Danio rerio: one gene and its partners. The protein of the gene in region 1 interacts with the protein of each later gene in a pairwise test. Links are inferred from orthologs where the notes say so. Each region holds a gene or a part of one and is shown in the gene's direction. Other genes may lie near its edges.

Region 1 (4,100 bases):
GGCGAAAACACAGCTTAATACCAGGTGTCAACAGGGCCTAAGATCCCTCTGGCAAATTAGTTATTGAATGTTATCGTGGGCGAAGCAGTGGCGCAGTAGGTAGTGTTGCCGCCTCATAGCAAGAAGGTCGCTGGGTCGCTGGTTCGAGCCTCGGCTCAGTTGCCGTTTCTGTGTGGAGTTTGCATGTTCTCCCTGCGTTCGCGTGGGTTTCCTCCGGGTGCTCTGGTTTCCCCCACAGTCCAAAAACATGCGGTACAGGCGAATTGGGTAGGCTAAATTGTCCGTAGTGTGTGTGTGAATGTGTGTGTGGATGTTTCCCAGGGATGGGTTGCGGCTGAAAGGGCATCCGCTGTGTAAAAACTTGCTGGATAAGTTGGCGGTTCATTCCGCTGTGGCGACCCAGATCAATAAAGGGACTAAACCTACAAGAAAATGAATGAATTTTATCGTGGATTAATTTTGACACATGAAACAATTTCATCAAACATTGTTTGATGCTGAAAATCAATTACCTTGTTGAAAAACAACTTGTGGTCCATAAATGCTTTTGTAAACACAATAAAATTTTCTGGAATGGAAATTGACAAAATAAATATTCATGTATGTCCCTGCTTCGGGCCCCACTACTTTATTACTGTATTTTGTTAATATTCTGTCAATGAATAAAAATTGTCAATATTATGCTAAAAAGATGCACACACAGCTAGAGTATAACTGACTGATGTAGCTGAAGAATCCTTCTGTAGCAGAAAACAGATAAAAGGAAGAAAACAGTGGAAGTGAAAGAATAGCTATAATAAGGTAATGTGTGAAGATTAATTAAAACTAAAATAGGTTAATTGCAATCTCATATTAGCTGGCAAGTTCATACCATAGCAAGAAACTTGTTTTCTTAAACATCCAAAGGTAGCTGTGCAGTCTTAATATATTCAAATACAAAAGATCTCTTAGCTGGTTTTAAGTTTTTTATTTGTCTTCTGAGTAAAAAAACTTTCCTGGAAATATCTTTCTGTGATAAACAAATCATAAATTTGATATCTATAATAAAAACAATTGTACTGTTACCATTTTAAAATTACTTAACACTAGCCGACCTATGGGGTTTTTATAATTTTATTCCAGTATCATTAGGCCTAAAAAATGTAAATTTATCGCTTAGCTGTATGTTGTTGTAGGAAAAAAAATCTAATGTTAAAATAACACTCTGTTTCAGGTTTTCTAGTTGTGCTTATATGCTCTGAAGGAGTAATGAGCAGAGGTGGGAGGTGTAGTCACATGACACTTGTCAGGCTGAAGTCACATGGTTTGTGTTTGCAGTCACTTCAGAACAGCACAAATTTCTACACACAGTTATGATGAAAGTGTTTCATGCTTCCTTAGTGAAATACTGAAAACTACATAGGACCATTTAATTCTGAACAGGCAGTGAAAATATGGAGATACCAGCCATAAATCTGAAGGTAATTTATTTTCAATCATTTGTGCATTACAGTGAGTACATTGATATTATTCATTATCAAATAATTATTTGATTGGTAAAGTATCCATTAAAAGTTTAAAGATAAAAAGTTTTGTCATTGTGGTGTCATTGTGGTTTTGTCATTTAAAAATGAGTCTACATTTTATGAAACCAAATGGGAGGCTTCAAAGATCACTTTCTTAAAGAATTTATCAGTAACTGCTATTGTTATAACTGCAAGCAAGCTTTTACATTAAGTTGATTGTTGTTATTGTGAGGGTGCAGCGAGGAAACAATAACATTCTGAATGGAAACACAAGGAAATCCTTGCTCTTTCTTTTGATTTAAAGCAGAATTTGTTCAAAGCATGCTGACCATAACACATTTTCTGTTTTATAAATACCCCACATTATAAGTGCAGCAACACACTGTCTCTAGAAAATAATATACTATATGTGTGCATTTACTCATGAACTGCACTATATGTGTTCTCTCTGCAGGCCATTTTGTTGGTTCACTGGATACTGACAGTTTGGTGAGAGTTATGGCACATTTTTGCTGTTTTTCATCACTAACCTGAGGAATTTCACCTTCGGTGAATGTTTATCTTCCAGTTTTCTATTCATCAGAAATATTTCTTCTTCAAATTGAAGCTTTCTAAATATCTGTTAAACACCTAAACATACAGTTGTTTTTCTTAAGTAGTAGTACATTGAAAAAGTGACTAAAGTGCACATATTTTCAAATATCCCCCATTTGCATATTTTAAATATAGTGGAAGCTTTACACTTTCAGTTAAAGGTCAAAGTATTTCATTAATACTGTGTGCATTTTTCGAGGAGGCAAATCAATCAAATTAATTCAGCTGTTCAAAAAATAGTTAATATTTAATATTTTCTTCTTTAAACTGAATTACTTCTAAATACATTTTTACATATCAGTTTAAATTACTGAAGAAATATTTAGTTCCATAGCCATTGTTTAAATGAGTACGCCCCTCACAGATCTCTCTTTGAAATTAATATAATCCGTAGGATGCTATACAGTTATATATTTGAGCATATACAGTAGATTGGATTAGCTAAAACTGAAACTAATCTAACAAAATTAAATAAAAATGACAGATAACAGTCCATAAATATGTACAGGCCAATTTATTATGTTGGGAAAAATATTGCACACAATTCTAATAAACAGGAAAAATTTAAAACATTAAAAAGAGAGAATTTAGTTAGAATTTGGGTTTTTTATTTTAATGTTTGAATTTAGTTGTATTAGCTTTCTATTACTAAAGAAATTAGGTGGCCAATCTCTTATTTTAATGGATATAGATTTTAGGGATTTATGGATATAAATATATTGGCTATATAGGGTATTTGCACACAGACTTTTAATTTTCAGCCAGGCAGCCCAAGGGCTTCCAGTAAAACTGTTTTTTCATTACAAAATTGTAACATTTAAGATCTGATTTCTTTAAAAATCAGCAATCTTCACTGCCTGTTAGATATAACAGAAGAAGAATTGCATTAAATTACATTTCCTCCCGCCATTTCTTTAAAATATGACAGTTTATTTTTACCCAGTATTTTCAATTAAGTGTCTGCGTAGCCTGTTGCTACTGACAGTCCTAGTGGTTACAACGGTCTTTCATCTTGTTTTACACCTAAACAACTAAATGAATGCTAAAGTCTGTGAATGTTATCGACTTTCGCTTTCAGATTTAAAGGGCTAGCATTGCACCAGACCCCCGTAAGTGGTGTGGTTTGAAAGTGTAGAATCTAGATTTTATCAACATATGCATCACTTTGGTTTTCATTCTACTGTATAAAAGTTATTTACACTTAAATTCACAGTATTTTGGATACCCCAGCTAGGTATTTTACATTGTTCATTTTCATATTTTTTTTTATATGACACATGTCACAAGTTATAGCTCAATTGAAATCTCTTGCCGGTGCTCATTCAGTTCTAGCATTCTTTTTACTGAATTATATTCATATTCCAAACAGTTGTTGAATGAATTGTGGTGTTTCCATGGCGCAGAAATGTAAACAATACATTTATGATCAATAAGCAGCCCCAGATAGCACAGACAGCTGTCATCTCTTACCTTATGCTGTGCCCTTCAGGGCCATTCTCCTCTGTTTTTGAGGTGATGTGCATAAGTAATCCTTTTATATGTCTGATGTGGTCCAAACTCAGTGAATTATATTTGATCAAACAAAAGAATAGTGAAATATGAAAACAATGATCGGTCCCTGTGGCTTGTACAGCACCTCTCATTAGTTGGAATGCAATAACTTTTGCATAGATTATGGTAGAGACTTTTTTCTTTTTTTAGACATGTGCAGGAACCACTAAAATTAATTACAGCACGCTAGACCACACAGAACCTAAAAGGTACACTTTCAAATTAGATTTAAAAAAAAAAAAACATAAAGCGCCTCTTTTTTTTAGGTGTTTATTATAACACAGACAACATATACAGTTATTTTAAACACTTTCAATAGTGTTTTATGAAAATTCAAAGGGTTTTCTTTAAAATTATACCAAATTTTTGCATTTACACCTCTTTATGTGGATTTGAAAAGCTTTTAAATTTGGGTAGGCAAAATCCAGGCGGAAATCCCCAAATAGCAGC
Region 2 (3,500 bases), on another chromosome or scaffold:
TATATATATATATATATGTGTGTGTGTGTGTGTGTGTGTGTGTGTGTGTGTATGTATACTACACCCATTTGTAACAGCAACTTGTGCTCTAGACCAGCTTTTAACAGCAGATGGCGCTCTAGAATAGTTTTTAATGGCACATGGCATTCTAGTTTAGTTTTTACAAGCAGCTTGTGCTCTAGGCTTGTTATTAACAGCAGATGGAACTTTAGTTTAGTTTTTAACAGCAGTTGGTGCCTTAGTCTAGTTTTTAACAGCAGATGGCACTCTAGATTAGTTTTTAAAAGAAGATGGCACGCTAGATTAGCTACTAACAGCAGATGGCGCTCTAAGTTAGTTTTACCAGCAGATGGCGCTCTAGTTCAGATTTTAAGAATAGCTACACTCGAATGCTCAGGAGGAAGAGTTGCATTCCAGTCATGCAAGTTGGCTTTGATGCCATGCGATCAAAGACATGAACGCTCATTATGAACACTTGTAATTCACTTAAACCTTTCCTAACTTTAATAATTATTTTAGGTTCAAGTGGTATTTGTATGGAATTGCAGTGCAAGCAGAGTATGGCAGTTTGTAAGCCATACAGCGCCTTCTGCTGTTAAGAACTAAGCTCAAAGTCTCAGAATCGATTTTTCAAACAGTTTTACACAGCTCTACTAAACACAAAGTTACCATGAATGTGCCATGAAATATTGTGTGAGGTATATTATTCCCTCATAATCGGAAATAATGTTAGAATCTCCACTAAAGAGAGAGAGAGTCCATTACGAAACAGCAAAGCCATGGTTAATTTGTGGTCACCATGGTTTTATCTACAGAAGCCATGATTTATTTGTAGTAAAATCTTGCTTAATTTCTGAAACAGACAGGATGGTGGATAGATATAAAGAAATATTTGAGCACTAAATGTTGACCAGTTAGATGTCATGAAATATCAATGAATATATAACTGTTTATTTATGTTGTTATTGCTAGATATCAGTATCCCACTATGGATCAGCTAGCTGGGATGCTTCCTAGTGTGGTGCAACACTTTGGGTAAGAGTTGTTTGATTATATTCAAAACAATGAGCTATAATAGTAAACCCATTCCTTAAATGTCCTTATTTAAATTAGTCAACTCTCTCTCTTTTCGTTTTAGCTTCAAAAGCATTGTCGGAATTGGAGTTGGGGCTGGAGCCTACATCCTGGCCAAATTCGCGGTTAGTACATCTCCTCCTTTTACTTTACTATATTAGTTTATATTATTAATTATTTACATTTAATGCAATTCTGCATGTCTACTCGCAGCTGATTTTCCCTGATCTTGTGGAGGGTCTGGTTCTGCTAAACATTGATCCCAATGGAAAAGGATGGATCGACTGGGCTGCCACTAAACTGTCAGGACTCACCAGTACTTTACCAGACACCGTACTGACCCATCTTTTCAGCCAGGTACAATACTAGCCTACATTGCTTTTTTTTTTTTTTAAATAAAGTCAATTTAAAGGTGGTTGGGATGAAAAGTAAAAGATGTGTTATGTATCTACAGAAGACACACACGTAAAAAGTCTTTCACTTTAATTATGATTTATATAACAAAAATTTTAGTTATTCATATTTAGATTTAAAAGACTCTTTTAATGAATTAAAAAATTAAAGGGTATTCATCACTCTCCCTCAAATGCTTCAAAACCTGTTTGACTTTCTTTTTTCTGTTGAACACATAAGAAGATATTCAAAACATGCTTGAAACCGTTAACCATTGACATCCAGAGAAGGAAAAACAAATACTATGGACGTCAGTAGTTACCGGTTTCAAACATCCTTTGGGATCAGAAGTAGTAAGAAACTCAAACAGGTTTGTGACAAGTAAAGGCTGAGTAAATGATGACAGAATTTTCGATCCCACTTTATATTATGTCATTAACTATTATGTACTTGCATCAAAATATAGGCAATATAGACAAAATAAGTGTAATGTACTTAATGTGTTCATAAAGTATTGCAGAACTTGTCTTGTGCTATTGAGGTGAGATATGGGTAAGGTTAGAGGTGTGTTTAAAAGTGGATTAAGGTGTATGGGATGGTCAAAAATGTAATTCTAAATGTAATTACAGAAATGCAGGTATTTAATTAAGGTATACAGGTATTTAATTAAGCATAAAGGTTCAAACACACCAGGATGCTTCGTTTGCGTTTATTGTCAGCATTTTCGAGACGTTTTTCCGCATTCAAACCCAAGCGATTTTTCACTGGTGTCTAGCAGACACCAGTACACAACTTTAAGCCTCTTTAAGCAACTTTAAGCATCTGACACCCGCTTGTAACACAGAAAAAGAAAGTTGAAACGCTTGCTGTTAAAGTTACTGGCGATTAGAACAAGCATGTGTGGTTCAAGTAGCAGCTCTAGCGACGAAGAAATTATTATTATTCACCAGTGTAATAAGCAGCTCCATGCTCATATCGCTTCTGGGCATCTTCGTCAATGTGCGCTGGCATTGACAGTTTTGTGCTTGAGCGCCTCTAAGTGCTGTTTACTCTAACTTCAGCAGTTTGTGCATGTGTACAAAAGTGCTAATCTGATTGGTCGAGAAGGTTTTGACGTGGCACGTCAAAACAAAAAAATTACCATGAGGCGTTTCTTTAAAAATGGCGCTTTTACGCCTGGTGTTTTTGCGCGTTAGTGTGCACAATGTCATTGGCACCCTTTATTTAGTCAAGAGGCATTAAACGTCATTGGAAAACGCAAGCAAAAAGTGTCCTGGTGTGATTGGGCCTTAAGTACAATGTAAAAACCTGTATTTACACAATAAGTACATAGAAACAAATTATTGATTTCAGTGTAAGTACATATTATTTAAGGTCACAATATAAAGTGGCAACAAACTTTCAGTTTTGGGTAAACCATCCCTTTAAATTTAGGTAGAATTCTCAATACTGACCTAAAATAACAAAATTGTATTTGAATGACAGGAGGAGCTTATGAGCAACACAGAAGTTGTGCAGAACTACCGCCAGCAGATCAACAACACCATCAACCAGTTCAACCTGCAGCTCTTCTGGAATATGTACAACAGGTAAACATTCACCGCCTAATTAATCTGCATAAAATGATAGAAAATGCATTAAGAGAATAAAAGTGCTTATTTCAAAATGTTTTCCCTCTTAGCCGCAGGGATTTGGAAATGAACCGCAGTGGCTCTGTGATAAATGCTAAGACCCTCAGGTGAGGAACTAAATTAATTAGACTTTACCTAACTGTACCTCATTGTTCAGGCTGAAGTTTGAACTGTTTTTCTTGCAGATGCCCAGTCATGCTGGTAGTTGGGGACAATGCTCCGGCTGAGGAGGGGGTGGTGAGTTCTGTTCATCATCCTTCAGAAGAAAAGAGAAAGTTAAAACATTAACTACAGTAATAGTTATTACCATACACTTAAAAATTTTGTTTAAATATGCACATGACATTATTAATGTTAATTTAAGTGATGAAGGATTTTGAAATTCTAAAAGTAAACAGAGAG
Region 3 (2,979 bases), on another chromosome or scaffold:
AGGATCTTTTTGCAGATCCTCTCCAGTTCTGTCAGGTTGGATTGTAAACGTTTGCTATTTAAGGTCTTTCCAGAGATACTCAATTGGGTTTAAGTCAGGGCTCTGACTGGGCCATTCAAGAACAGTCAACAGTCATCTTCAGGCAGTTCCTTTGACCTCTTGATTCTCATTTGCTCTAACATGCATTGTGAACTGTAAGGTCTTATATTGACAGGTGTGTGGCTTTCCTAATCAAGTCCAATCAATATAATCTAACACAGCTGGACTCAAATGAAGGTGTAGAACCATCTCAAGGATGATCAAAAGAAACGTACAAATCCTCAGTTAAATATATGAATGTTACAGCAAAGAATCTGAGTATTTAGGACCATGTAATATTTCAGTTTTTCTTTTTTAATAAATCTGCAGAAAAAAGTCAAGAATTCTGTATTTTTGTCAATATGGAATGTGGTGTGTACAGTAATGAGGAAATAATGAATTGAAATTATTTTAGCAAATGGCTGCAATATACCAAAAAGTGAAACATTTAAGGGGGTCTGAATACTTTCCGTACCCACTGTAAGTAAGAGACTGAGAACAATGAATGTGAGGTAAAATTTGTCAGCAGCATAGTAGGCACAATCTATATGCATGCCTAATGTTTGCCCTGCTAAAAAATCCAGCTTAAACCAGCCTAGGATGGCTGGCTGGTTTTAGCTGATCGACCAGCCTGGTTTTAAAGGGGTTTTGGCCACTTCCAGGCTGGTTTCCAGTCATTTCCAGCCTGGTCTTAGCTGGTCAGGCTGGAGAGGGACCAGCTAAAACCATCTAAAACCAGCTTGACAATCCTGGTTTAAGCTGGACATAGCTGGTTTTGGCTGGGCTCCCAGCCTGGCTAGGCTGGTCAAGCTGGTAGAGAATCTAGAGAATCTATGGCTCCTGAGCCGCATGTGGCTCTTTGACCAAAAATACATGGCTCTCCAGGTGTCGCCCTAATAACATACAGTTTAAGAATTTTAATCTTTCAGTGTCCTATTGAAAATACAAGAACAATTTGCATTGTATTTTATTTTATTTATTTATTTTTACAGCAAAATGAATAAGAACTATAATTAATTAACAATTGTTAAATAATTAACAATTAAAGGGCGTTTCGACCAAAGCGCGTGTGTGGTGCTGTAGATTATCTTGAATCAGGACACCAATTTAAAGGGCAAACAACTTATGTTGCTATGGTAACCTTGCGCATGTAAATTCAAACAACATTTGACGACTTGCTCAGCATACACACCCCAATGGCTCTTTAAAAAAATGCATTTGCCAAAAAAATCAGGAATGGCTCTTTGCTGAAAAAAGGTTCCTGACCACTGCTATAAGATGCTACTTCATTATTAATTTTCAAGTCATCATGACTCATCAAACATCATTTAACTCATGTAACGTTACACTAAATCAAGCACGTGTTTGTGACAAAAACTGATTGTCTCGTCTTTTTTCAGGCTCTGATCCTGCAATTCGACCCAGCTTCACTCGCTCCATCTCTGTTACGGATGAATCGTCACTGAAAAAGATGGGGGTTACGACTCTAGACATTCCAAGCTCTCAGTCCTCCCTCAAGGGTCCTGTGAGATTAAAATCAACCCCAGAATAACACCTGCAATGACCACTGCCAATACCACCTTGACATCTGCCAAATATCTCTCCACTTGGACTGTCTCTTCTAGAAAAAAACTGGTTGAAATGAAAACACAATCGTCACTTTCTGCTCACCATTCCCTGCATACCTGTGTTTAATGCAGAGGATGACATTAACAAAAGCACCTTACTAAAGAACGTTAGGTACTATGTCTAAACAGACTGGAGCGAAACCATTCAATTTTCTCCCAGACAAGACAGTCTCTACAAAATGCATTCAACCAATGGTCTATTCACCAGCCTATGAACATGAATGGATGCACATATTCATCCGAGCACAGAATGAAGATGAAGAGGCTCTATTGACATAATGAAACAACCAGCAGACAGTGTCGGTGAAACCCCCTCATATGGATCACGGCGAATGAAAGTGACTAGCCAAAATATCTAGTGGCTTACGGGATATTGAGACTAACCTTTGACCCTGTATCAATACATTGATGGAACATAATTGATTGTTTAGTCGTGCAGCACATCGTGAGAACTTTATCAATAGTACTTTGGGAGATAAGACTAAAGACAACAGCAGACTGAGCATTATGCATTATTTGACATTGATATCACATCCATCATCTGTCACTTCATGCCACATTCTCTGTTAGTCTCTGTTTAGGTTTGGTTTTTAAGGATTAAAAGGGAATTTGGTATTTTCTGTCATTTGTTGAAGAAATAGTTAAACTGACCTTAACTTGCATCTCTGGTTAAGCCAGTTTTGTTGATTAAGCTGTTCAAGCAAACAAAGTAATGTTGAAAGTGCCTCATTGTATATTTTTATAATAAATTTACTAAGGAATGCATGACATTATATGCACCACACTGGTCAATATCAAATTTTTACAAAAGTTAACAGGAGAAGTGCCATGACTTTTCACATTCTAAACAATGTTTACTATGAGTTTATGCCATTCACTGTATGTTCGCATCGCTTTGCAACGTATGGAAAACAATAGATGTTAGCCAGGCAAGGTAATAATGTTGCATTTCAGAGGCTGCATCTTTCAAAGGATGCATTTGAAGGGCGCTCTGTCATCATGGAGCTACGAAGGCGGTCTCATTTTAAAAAAATCCGAAGGCTCCTTCAAATGCAGCCTCAAAATGCATCCTTCGTTTTCCAGATAATAAAGGATACAACCGGTGGATTCTCAGCGGCCTCGAAGATTCATGGCTCACTGATAACAGCAGGACGTTTTTAAAGGAAAACTCTGGTTTAAATGTATGAATTAGGTTTATAATACTGGTTAAGAAACTGTTATACTAATCTGTCCTCGAAAACAAACGTACAGTATCTCCTACTAGGCCGTTCAT
Region 4 (2,251 bases), on another chromosome or scaffold:
TACTACTCTGATCTATACTGCATGTGTGCTCCACACTAGAGCTCCTCAGGCAGGATGAGCTGTGTGGTTATAGTCTGTTGAGGAGATGATCAGAGCCGTGTGCTGGCTGATTACTGCCTGAGTTTGAGGGAGGAGCTTGTTTTGGAGGCGGGACTTGATGTGTATGGGTCATCTCTAATAAACAGTGTGTGTGTGTGTGTGTGTGTGTGTGTGCAGGAGCTGCCTGCAGTGAACGTGTCGTGGTCTGCTGACGGGCCGCAGCCGCTGGGCTTCATCCACATCTCGATGGCGGTGGCGACGGATCGAGGCCTGATCACGCCCATCATCAGAGACGCGGCGGATAAAGGCCTGCAGGAGATCTCCAGCACCGCTAAGGTGAAGAACAGGCCCGAACACATGTGCTCCTCACTCTCAACAACACACACAGAGGAGTGAGGAGGTCCAGCATCTGCTTTACGTCAGAATCCTATAGTCTGCATGAGCCGGGAGCTGCGGTTTTACCCTTATTGTGCTGCTGTTACCATAGAAACACGATATTTAATCGGTAAACAGTGGGCGTGGCTTGTTTGTTCTACTGCGAGCTGATTGGCTGTAGTAAAGTAGGCGTGTCATTCAGAGAGATGGCAGAAGGGTTTGGGGAGAGTTATTACAGCCTAACAGACTCCTCCTCCTCACCATTCTGTCTGTTGTCATAGCGATGACAAAACTGACAGCTGGAGGGGCGTGGTTAAGTGTGTTAGCCACGCCCAATACCTCAGACAGTCGTATTGCTGTGTGCTGACCTCCTGTGTGTGTGTGTGTGTGTGTGTGTGTGTGTGTGTGTGTAGGCTCTGGCACAGAAGGCTCGGGATGGTAAACTCCTGCCAGAGGAGTATCAGGGAGGATCCTTCAGGTGAGCGTCTGCACGGTGTCGTTCACCACATATCAGCATTCACTTACTCAGGAGCTTCTGGACCGTCAGCAGTGTGTCTCCTCTGTTGAACACTGAAGCAGATATTATAGGGAAGCTGAATCTACTGATGTCTGTAGTGAGAAAAACACTTACTGTAGAAGTCGATGGTTACAGGTCTCCAACATTCTTCAAAATATCTTCTTCTGTCTTCAACATCAACAAAAGCAACTCAAACAGCTGTGGAGAAGTGAACAGAGTGTAGATGATGACAGGATGATTTTTGTTTCCTTTAATTACAGCTTTGATCAATGAAACTGATCACTTCATCAATGATTTACCGTTCCAAAGTGTTCAGAGCAGCTGCTGGCTCCACCTGCTGGTCAAACTCTGCCAGTGCAGCAAACACTCAGGCAGAGCCACACACGTTTCAGGCACACACCATCTATGCAAACCATAGATGGTTACGAGCTGATGTTAATGTTATTAATGACAGACATCATCATCAATATATTTATATATGTATATTGTTAATAAATATCGTACACAATAAACAATAGTGTTTACTATTTCACAAATATGGCAATGGGGATCAATGTTTCTGATCGCCATTCAATATAACAGTGTGAAGAGTTTTCCATCAGTCGTCATTATTATATGTCAGAGTCAGTATAGCAGATATTTATTTGCTGACTGCTGTTTTCAGAGATATACACCATCTACATTGGACAGGTTTCATTTATATGAAGGATTCATTATAATGAAGGGAAAAGAGCCAGTTAATATGTATATAATAGATCTTTATATGTCATGCAAATCTTTTAATGAATGTAGAACACTATATTAATCTTGTACTCCAGTGATTGAATAGCATTTATTTCTAATAACTTTTTTATTAATGATTTCCCACATTAAACACTGGAGTAATTTATAGTAAGTAAAATATTGTTTTTAAATCATAAAGTGCTGGCAATTATAATTACAACATATAGTAATACAGACAAATTAACTGTTAATATATATATATATATATATATATATACATATATATATATATATATATATATATATATATATATATACACACACACACACACACACACAACAGTTCTGTCTGGTTCTCAAATCTGATTGGCTGAAAGCCGTGCGATATTCTGCAATATCAGAACTCTTACAGCCTCTTTACGGTTTGTGTATTACTCCGCCCACATACAGCCAGCAGAAAGCAGACACTCCACATCTGAAGTGTAAAAGATGCTTGCTCAGCTGTTTCACTGTCAGCTTATGATTTGAATCCAAGGCGGAAGAAAGTAGTTCCTCATACAAAAGGGGTTTTGAGACTCTCCATGTTTGATTTAGTTT

Evidence for each region.
Region 2: the proteins of agtrap (region 1) and ndrg4 interact in binary tests that used the Homo sapiens proteins (3 or more experiments, as listed by UniProt). The two-hybrid records come from large-scale screens. The link is inferred for Danio rerio from reciprocal best matches to the Homo sapiens genes AGTRAP and NDRG4.
Region 3: the proteins of agtrap (region 1) and pitpnc1b interact in binary tests that used the Homo sapiens proteins (3 or more experiments, as listed by UniProt). The two-hybrid records come from large-scale screens. The link is inferred for Danio rerio from reciprocal best matches to the Homo sapiens genes AGTRAP and PITPNC1.
Region 4: the proteins of agtrap (region 1) and pdhx interact in binary tests that used the Homo sapiens proteins (3 or more experiments, as listed by UniProt). The two-hybrid records come from large-scale screens. The link is inferred for Danio rerio from reciprocal best matches to the Homo sapiens genes AGTRAP and PDHX.

Annotation. Positions count from the first base shown.
Region 1 is NC_133186.1:18,167,959-18,172,058, forward strand, and holds the start of agtrap (type-1 angiotensin II receptor-associated protein), read left to right. Parts: upstream 1-1,300; 5' UTR 1,301-1,433; coding exon 1,434-1,460; intron 1,461-1,959; coding exon 1,960-1,994; intron 1,995-4,100. UniProt on the Homo sapiens protein: Appears to be a negative regulator of type-1 angiotensin II receptor-mediated signaling by regulating receptor internalization as well as mechanism of receptor desensitization such as phosphorylation.
Region 2 is NC_133200.1:14,278,394-14,281,893, reverse strand, and holds part of ndrg4 (protein NDRG4), read left to right. Parts: intron 1-972; coding exon 973-1,035; intron 1,036-1,138; coding exon 1,139-1,199; intron 1,200-1,287; coding exon 1,288-1,431; intron 1,432-2,952; coding exon 2,953-3,056; intron 3,057-3,148; coding exon 3,149-3,205; intron 3,206-3,283; coding exon 3,284-3,335; exon of another isoform or gene 3,336-3,500. UniProt on the Homo sapiens protein: Contributes to the maintenance of intracerebral BDNF levels within the normal range, which is necessary for the preservation of spatial learning and the resistance to neuronal cell death caused by ischemic stress.
Region 3 is NC_133191.1:13,816,464-13,819,442, forward strand, and holds the end of pitpnc1b (cytoplasmic phosphatidylinositol transfer protein 1b), read left to right. Parts: intron 1-1,478; coding exon 1,479-1,630; 3' UTR 1,631-2,479; downstream 2,480-2,979.
Region 4 is NC_133200.1:40,153,115-40,155,365, reverse strand, and holds part of pdhx (pyruvate dehydrogenase protein X component, mitochondrial), read left to right. Parts: intron 1-216; coding exon 217-375; intron 376-827; coding exon 828-892; exon of another isoform or gene 893-984; intron 985-1,045; exon of another isoform or gene 1,046-1,129; intron 1,130-1,230; exon of another isoform or gene 1,231-1,334; intron 1,335-2,251.